Linked DNA regions of Cricetulus griseus. The protein of the gene in region 1 binds, or shares a complex with, the protein of each later gene. Links are inferred from orthologs where the notes say so. Each region holds a gene or a part of one and is shown on either strand. Other genes may lie near its edges.

The links.
Region 2: the proteins of Ralgapa2 (region 1) and Nkiras1 are in contact, whole or in part, in a crystal structure (PDB 9QU1), measured with the Homo sapiens proteins. The link is inferred for Cricetulus griseus from reciprocal best matches to the Homo sapiens genes RALGAPA2 and NKIRAS1. Residues at the interface, in NP_065076.2 of Homo sapiens: Pro20, Lys21, Tyr51, Ser52, Gln53, Phe56, Tyr59, Glu60, Ile63, Arg99, Phe102, Arg103, Trp104, His105, Tyr106, Gln107, Ser108, Lys185, Ile186, Tyr187, Pro188, Glu189; in NP_001364280.1 of Homo sapiens: Lys6, Glu22, Leu24, Leu25, Tyr26, Glu34, Met39, Glu40, Asp41, Val42, Tyr43, Met44, Ala45, Ser46, Val47, Glu48, Lys54, Gln56, His58, Tyr60, His74, Tyr75, Ser77, Phe78, Lys108, Thr162.

The regions. Positions count from the first base shown.
Region 1 is NC_048599.1:32,658,518-32,662,330, forward strand, and holds part of Ralgapa2 (ral GTPase-activating protein subunit alpha-2), read left to right. Parts: intron 1-1,043; coding exon 1,044-1,112; intron 1,113-1,377; coding exon 1,378-1,515; intron 1,516-2,570; coding exon 2,571-2,754; intron 2,755-3,813.
Region 2 is NW_023276807.1:175,377,225-175,381,768, reverse strand, and holds the start of Nkiras1 (NF-kappa-B inhibitor-interacting Ras-like protein 1), read right to left. Parts: upstream 3,077-4,544; 5' UTR 2,990-3,076; exon of another isoform or gene 2,860-2,989; intron 1-2,859. Other genes in the region: Rpl15 (60S ribosomal protein L15), read left to right, coding at 3,721-3,892, 4,006-4,142. UniProt on the Homo sapiens protein: Atypical Ras-like protein that acts as a potent regulator of NF-kappa-B activity by preventing the degradation of NF-kappa-B inhibitor beta (NFKBIB) by most signals, explaining why NFKBIB is more resistant to degradation.

The DNA.
Region 1 (3,813 bases):
TTGTAGGTTGGGCTTTATTCACTGAGAGTAATTTGGATGGTGCCAACAAGGAGTAGGCAGCTGGTTTAATGCCTTCCTTGCAGGGTGGGGGCCTGGCTGTTGTGTAAAGCAGTTGTTCCCAGACTAAAGCCCTGGGCCACGCTTGCTGCTGTGGCATGGTTACTCAGCAGTAATGAGATCAGTGCAGTATTAACCTCTGAGAGGGATGTGGCCAGGAGAGGAGGCAGGAGGAACAGGAAGTACTCAACCACAGCTTCTCAGAGGTCTGCTACAGCCAAGGGGTCTTTGCTCAGAACGGAGCAGGAACTAACTCATAGGTACCTACACACCTGTGCTTGGCAGTTTTTATAACCAAACTTCTTCAAGCAAGCCCTGTTCCTTACCCATCTAGTGGAGCCTCTGAGAAAATTTGATTTGTCCCCATGACAGATGGCAAGGAGAGAGAAGAAGTGATACAGATTCATTTCTTCCCAGCCCTAGACAGACTTCATTGGTTGAGATCACTTTGTTCTCTCAGAATCACATCAAGAGTCACAAGTGGTTTTTGACCTGAAGTGACCTAGAGTGAAATAGACCTTTTACTCTGCTTCATAATGTAAAGTTGGGTTTAGTGTCACCCTGTAATTATCCAGACAGGATACCTGTGAGAATGAATGGCATGCTGTGATGTGGGAGCAGGAGGTGGAAACCAATGCTAATTTGTAATAGCAAATTATTTTCATAATTATTTTTGAAAACTTTTTTTTCACTTTACTAATAATAATATTAGTAGATATTTAGTAGACTAATTAGTAGACTAATAGTAGATATTATGTGACTATAGAAAGAACTATTCCTTGCCATGAGGTCTCAGTCTCCCACTAAAGACATAGAAACCATTACATGATCGTTATTTTCAAATCTCCTACCACTGGCCCTCAGTGTTCTATCATCATCCAGTGAGTAGGTCCCAAGCTGTTTAGTTGCAAGGTCAATTTGGGATCCTTAGCATATGGCTTCCAAACTATCATGGTCTACTTGACTGGGTTTTATCTTTTATGCAGATCCTTGTGGCCACAATTGCATTTCTTTTACCAAGTGCAGAGTACTCCTCAGTGGAAACAGATAAAAAGGTAAGTGACATGTTCGGTAACTTTCCCCACAGTAATTTTTAAGTGTAAGACAGAATGGTAACTAACATTACTGATGATGGTATCATTTATTACATCCTTATATGGTGGCTTTAACATTCTTTCCTATGAAAGCCATTTTTGTTTACATACTAACCCTGCATTTGCATGTCTATTGAATATTGAGCAGGGACAATTCTGTTTATTTTTACATGCAGTTGGTCCAAAGGGCCGTAGAGTGAAATTCTGGTTATGTTTCTTCTTCTAGTTTATTGTGTCCTTGCTCCTCTGCCTCTTGGACTGGTGCATGGCACTGCCTGTGAATGCCCTTCTCCACCCTGTGTCCACAGCAGTCCTGGAGGAGCTGCACCCACCCCGGGCTCCCTTGCTGGATTATATCTACAGGGTGAGTCTCCTCTAAGCCTTGGGCATTGACAGCGGACCTACAGGTTAAAAATTACCAAAATGTTGTATATGTTGTACATTTATGTATTTGTGCCTTCTGAAAAGGACCTGTGGAAGGTTAAGTATTTGGAAAGAAATGAATAATTAATGAACAAGCAGAACACATACAGTTGTAGAAAGCAAGTAGTTGCCAAGGTGAAGATATATACATTTCCACATGACTGTCATCTTTAAACAACTGCTGTTTGATCAGAATGACCCCAGTCTTCATGGCACATGATCTCTGTCTACTTAATTTCAAAATGGACTGTTTATATGTAGGAGGGTCTGCAGCATCCAAAGATCTGTTTGTAGGAAAGTAAGAAAAAAAATAATGCTTCTGGTACTTTATTTGCCTTAAAGAAACCTCAAGAGGAAGGTGTGGTGGTACATGCTTATAATCCCAGCACTTGGAAGCAACGGGCAAAAGGATTGCCTTGAGTTCAAGGCTGCCTAGGTTATATAATGAAATCCTTTCTCAAGACCAGAACCAAATCAAAACTAAAAGAACATGAAAGGAAAAAAATCCTTAGGATAGGAGTTAAGAAATCTCACTTTGTGAGAAGTGAGAGACTTTAAAATCTGTTTTCAGTTTACTTTTATTTAATTATGTTTTCAAAATCATATTAAATTATTTCATATAATTCTTCGGTTCATGCGTTGTACTTATTTAGACTCAGGTTGTGGTCACCCTGCCCTCAACCATGAGGGCTTTCCCACAGCTGTCTTTCATCTCCTGGGCTGGTTCCTTCCACCTGTGTTACTTTTGGAGAGTGACGGACTGAGGTGTGTGCAATCACACAAGAACATAAACCTTTTCACTTGGGCTCCGTTTGGCCTGAGAATGTAGGTATTGTTACTGACTTGCTTATAGCAAAAAGATATTTAAGATTGGAAACAACCCCATACTTTGACATGTTCCTAAGTAGGAGTCCTGTCTCAAAAGTACTGTGGAGACTGGACAGTTTGTCAGGGGTCAGGAGGTGTTGGCATACCATTCCTGTCTGTTCTCCTCAGGTTCTGCACTGCTGTGTCTGTGGCTCAAGCACATACACACAGCAAAGTCACTACACTCTAACCTTGGCTGACTTGTCATCCACGGATTATGACCCCTTCCTGCCTCTGGCAAATGTGAGAAACTCAGAGCCGGTCCAGTACCATTCATCAGCAGACCTGGGGAATCTACTGACTGTGGAAGAGGGTGCGTATGTCTATAAATATACAATCTTATGGGCAGGAAGAGGTAAGATTGTAGTCTTGTCCATGCTTGTTTTGAATCTACTTGTTGAAGTCCCAGTTTATAGGGTCTCTGAGGGCAAATTGCCTTCCCTGTTACTTCCTCTTTATTCCTGTTATTTTTTCCTCCTCTCTTCTTTTTCCCATCTTAAATTATTCACATGGTTTTGTATTACAGAAAATCTCTTGCCTCATACCCATAGAATGCAAAAAAAAAAGGGGGGGCTCCTTTTTCAATCTTCAAGAAGTTTTACATTTGGTGGGAGAGATAGGACAATACTGGGCTGGTAGCATCCTCAGAACTTCCCATAGGGAATAATTAAGCTAGACACAGCAAGGAGGGTAGGCTTTAAAGGAGCTCATGGAGTATTCACCTCATGAAGAAAGCTGGGAGCTTACTTGCCCCCACTTGGGATGTGTTCCTGTGGCAGACAAGTCTGTGGAGATTGTTAGGACTTGGCTACTGTATTTCCTCCTCTGCCACTGATATAAATGAAAAGCACCCAATCTAAGCCTTGGAATATGAGTCTGAAAAGTGAACAGGTCACTATAAGTGTGGCAGATTTTCATGAAACTAAGCACATATAAATGTATAAAACTGGTGCATACCAATTTATTAGTGGGCTATGTTAATGTCCATTTTCTGGTTGTGGTATTGAACTGTATATCTAAGATGTTACCCCTGAGATGAAGGGTAGTTAAAAATCTCTTTTATTCCCTATTACTGTATATGAATCTTCAACTGACCCAATTAACAGTTTGCAAATGTGGCTACAGAGTAGTACATCATCATCCAGGGATATTGCATGAAGCTTTTCAGTTTGCAAGCTAGGGCCAAGAATGGAATTCATGACATCCTTAAGAGAAAAGCAATGAGGGGCTATCACCAAGTAAAGTCAGGGTTGTGGAAAAGGACCAACATAGAGTCATTAGAGGTCATTCCTAGACACCAAGGTCAGAGTAGGTGGTGCAGAAGCAGTTAGCAGTACTGGGTGCTTCAAGAAGCCCAGGGAGGCTGAGAGCA
Region 2 (4,544 bases), on another chromosome or scaffold:
GGGGCCTAGGCCCTGCCCCAAATGAGTTGACAGATTTTAATGATCCCTAATGGAAGCCAGGAAGAGCTGCTATGTGGATTCTGGGGATGGAACCGGGTCCTCTAAACCAGTGAGCCATCTCTCCAGCTTCCACCTCCACTTTTATAGAAATGGACTCTCAAAGATGCCCCCATCCTAACCCTGTAAACCTTTGAGACCTCACTTGAAAAGGAATTTTGCATGCGTGACTGAATTAACAGAGATTAAGATGGAGGTGGATTTATAAAACAAGTTTTAGAGGAGAGGGAATGACTGGAAAGGATGCAGGTGGCCTTGGGCTATTTATTTATTTATTTAGTTTTAATTTTCATTGGTGTTTGCCTGCGTGTATGTTTGTGTGAAGGTGTCAGATGTCCTGGAACTGGAGTTACAGACAGTTGTGAGCTAACATGTGGGTGGGTGCTAGGAATTGAATCTACCTCCTTTGGAAGCATAGTCAGTGCTCTTAAACTTTGAGCCATCTCTCCAGCCCCAACACCATGGCTTTAACCTGATATTTCTGATCTACAAACTATAAAATGATAAATGTTTTATTTAAGCCATTAAATGTATTGCAGTGGAGGCCAGGTGGGGCAAGCACAGCCTCCTCACTTGAGGGAAAAACAGATGGGGTCTGTGCAGGTTGGAGGCTAGCCTAGTGCATACATTAAGTTTTCAGGACAGTTAAAGCTACATAGCAAAAATAAAAGAGAAAGAAAAATGTATCTCGAAAACATAAATTTAAAACTGTAATTGCTGTTGGGGAAACCTAACCATCTCACTATGCTCTCTATTCCACTCTCTTTCCTTTTAGCCTCAAATCATCCTAAGTTAGAATTTTAAAATCCAGCCTACATTCTCAGAACCATCTAGTGGCTTCCTAGCTCCTTGGGTTTGATTCCAAAACACCACTTGCTGTTTTCTCTGTCAGTCCTGGTATCTTCTGTCTTGTCTCTTAACCTTGTGTCTCAGTCATCCATACCCCAACTTAAAACTTTTTGAGGTTTGGTTTCTGATTCCTAAATGCTATGCCACTTAACTACGCTCACAGACTTGTAATTTATTCTTCAATGTTATCCTTCAATGGGGCTGGAGAGGCTCAGTAGCTAGAGCACTTGCTACTCCAGTAGAGCACACTGCTTCAGGTCCCAGCACCTACATGGACGCTTCCCACCACTGGGCATTCCAGTTCCAGGGCACATATACATACATGCAAGCAAACACAGAAACTAAAAATAAATCTTAAAAAAAAATTAAGACTGTCCCAAAAGAGAAATCTTTTTTAATTAATTAATTAATTAATTAATTAATTTCACATCCAAACCAGAGTTTCCCCTCCCTCCTCTTCCTCTCATTCCCTCCCCTGCCCCCCCATCTTAACCCCCCAAATCCACACCTCTGTTTCTGTTCAGAAAGGGGCAAGCCTCCCTTGGGTATCAACAGAGGTTGGCATAACAAGTTTCATTAATATTAAGCACCTTCCTTGTATTAAGTAAAGTTGGGCAAGGCAAGGAATAGGTTCCCAAGAACCAGTCAACGTGTTAGGGACAGCCTCTGCTCCCACTGTTAGAAGTCCCACAAGTAGACCAAGCTACACAACTGTCACAGATATATAGAGGGCCTAGGTCAGTTCCATGCAAGCTCCTTGGTTGTTGTTTCTGAGTCTGTGATTTCCTATCAACCCAGGTTAGTTGTTTCTGTGGGTTTTCATGTAATGTCCTTGACCCCTCTGGCTCCTACAATCTTTCCTCCTTCTCTTCACCAGGATTCCCTGAGCTCCATCTAATGTTTGGCTGTGGGTCTCTGCATCTGTTTCTATCAGTTACTGGATGAAGGCTCTCTGATGATGGGGTAATCGCTAATCTGATCACAGGACACACATTGAGGGAGTGAGGAGTAATGTGACAGTCGCCCCAGCACCCCAGATTTCTTTTAGAGATCTCCCTGGGGGTGGGTGGGAATGGGAATGAGAAATAGCATCCTGAGCACTCCATCCTAACATGCAAGCTACACCAGATGTGCTAAAAAGAGAAAAAAATGAGGCAGTTAATTGGTTGGAAGATTACTTCCACCCAGGTCCAGGCTCCACTGGCTACATCATGATGCCCCCCCACCCCACCCCAAGGGTTCAGCTGAAGAGAGGCCTCCCTCTTGGGACACTTGGGCAACTGTCACCCTATTGCCCTATACCCCTTCACTTCCTCAATGTGTGTCCTTGGCACCAAATTAAATACATAGGTTAGTATTGACGTTTGCTCCCAAGGCTAGCACTTGTGCGTTGTTTGTGGCTGCATACCCAACAGCTGAGACTGTGCCCCGCACAAATTAAGACAGGTGAGGATTTTTAGAATGCTAAAGCCATTGTTTATTTTAAAAGATGAACAGAGCCACAGATTGATGTAAAAGATAAACATGAATCCAGAACCTTGGCCACAAACATGGGTAGACTTTATGAAAACCGCAAGACTATGAAGAAAGAAAATTCTGGAGCTGCAAAACCTCCAAAACCATTATTTCTTAATAAAGAACGCAATGCAGAATGTCAGCCTTCTGGGCATTTCTTCCTGAAACAGCCGCACCTAAGAGGACTTGGCAAATGAACAATTTGCTGTCCTAAAAACATGATAAAATAAAGCCCCCGTGTTCTGACGTTAGCACCTCCGGATTCCCATCCACCACAGGGAAAGCAGAAGGAGGACGGACGCCAGGGTCCACCCTCTCGGCTTGGGTCGGCGGGCCTCAAGGACACGCGCGCAGCCACTAGCGCCTACGCCCACCCGGTAGCTGTGCGGCGGTCACGCTGCTCCGGGATCTCGGAGCGGAGCCGGCGGAGACACCAACCTGACACTGCGGAGCAGTGAGACAGAGGCACGCGGGTCACTGCGGTCCGCGGGCGTCGCTCTGGAGCCGGTCCCCGACCTGCCTCCTCAGGACCCGCACCCGTGACCCACACGGGCTCAACGCCTCTCACCTCTGGCAACCTTCCCGGTTCAGAGGCAATGCTGAGAGCCCGCGGAAGACATCCGGAAGCGACGAATTGTCCCAGCCTGATTCCGCCCACCAGATTGGATGTCGGAACTACATACCCCATGAGGCACTGTGCGGCCACCCCGCCCCACCGGAAGGAGAGTCGCCGAGGTGGGGGAGGAGCCACAAAAGGGATTGTGGGAGAAAGGCTTCTTCCTTTCCTCTGGTGGCAGCCATCAGGTAGGCAGGTCGATCCATATTTGCGTTTCTATCCGTCACGAATCGCGCTAGTCTTCAGCCATCCGGCCCTGGCGGCTCTGCCGCCGCGGAGCTGCTTCTCCCCACGAGCGTTCAGTCAGGATGCGGGGTGGAGAGGGCGCGAAGACGCAGCCACCCGGGAGGCTTGAGGGGAGACGCGATGGCGGCAGGATCCGAGCTGGGCCTGAAGGAGGCGCGGGACTCAGGCATGGAGGCCTGGCCAGGCCGGCCGCGTGGGGCGAAGCTTTCCGGGTTTTAGTCTCGCCGGCGGTGGCCTTCACAACCCTGCGGCCAGCCTTGCTGCCTCCCCGAGCCCGGGCTATCGGTCCAGCCGAATCGGCAGCTGCGCCCTGCCGCCTGTGCGGGACCGTTCTCATTCTCTGTGGAAGGTGGGGCGCCGGGACGGACGGCCCAGTTCTCATCACTGCCTGACAGCGATCGCTTTTCCAATGTGCTTCCTCTCAAAGGTGAGCCAAGATGGGTGCATACAAGTACATCCAGGAGCTATGGAGGAAGAAGCAGTCCGACGTGATGCGCTTTTTGCTGAGGGTCCGTTGCTGGCAATACCGCCAGCTTTCTGCGCTGCACAGGGCTCCACGCCCCACCCGGCCTGATAAAGCGCGAAGGCTGGGGTACAAGGCCAAACAAGGTGCGTGATGTCCGATACCACTGCCCCAGAAAAGTCCCGCATGTCCCCACCCCACCCCCGGTAACGGGAAGCATCGGGAAAGTCTCACCTGTTGGTTTTGTGTGTGTGTACAGGTTATGTCATATACAGGATTCGTGTCCGCCGTGGTGGCCGCAAACGCCCAGTTCCTAAGGGTGCAACTTACGGCAAGCCTGTCCATCATGGTGTTAACCAGCTAAAGTTTGCCAGAAGCCTTCAGTCTGTTGCTGAGGTAAATAGATTGATGTACCTACCAGTTGAATTGACAACCCATTACGGGTGGCGGCTAGAAATGGGACAACGCAGTAGACCTTCACTGGGTGGGTATAAGGTGGGGCTGGAGGTGTTTTGTTTACTTAGCCTTGGCAAAGAGCATCTATTATCAAAACTCTGTTACTGTTTGGTGCTTAAGTATACGCTGAAAGGGCTTTTTTGTCTTAATGAACCAGGACCTGCAGAACTAAAAGCTTTTGAAGGCAGTAAATGCAGTTTTTCTTTTGGGTTGCTAAGCTGTGTTCTGCTGTAGGAGACCCCTTTCCAAAAGCCGGAAGCTTTTGACTCTTGTATAAGACCATGTGTTTGATCCCAATTACTAACGAGATCTTGGGCAGTACTCAACTCCATGCCTAGTGTA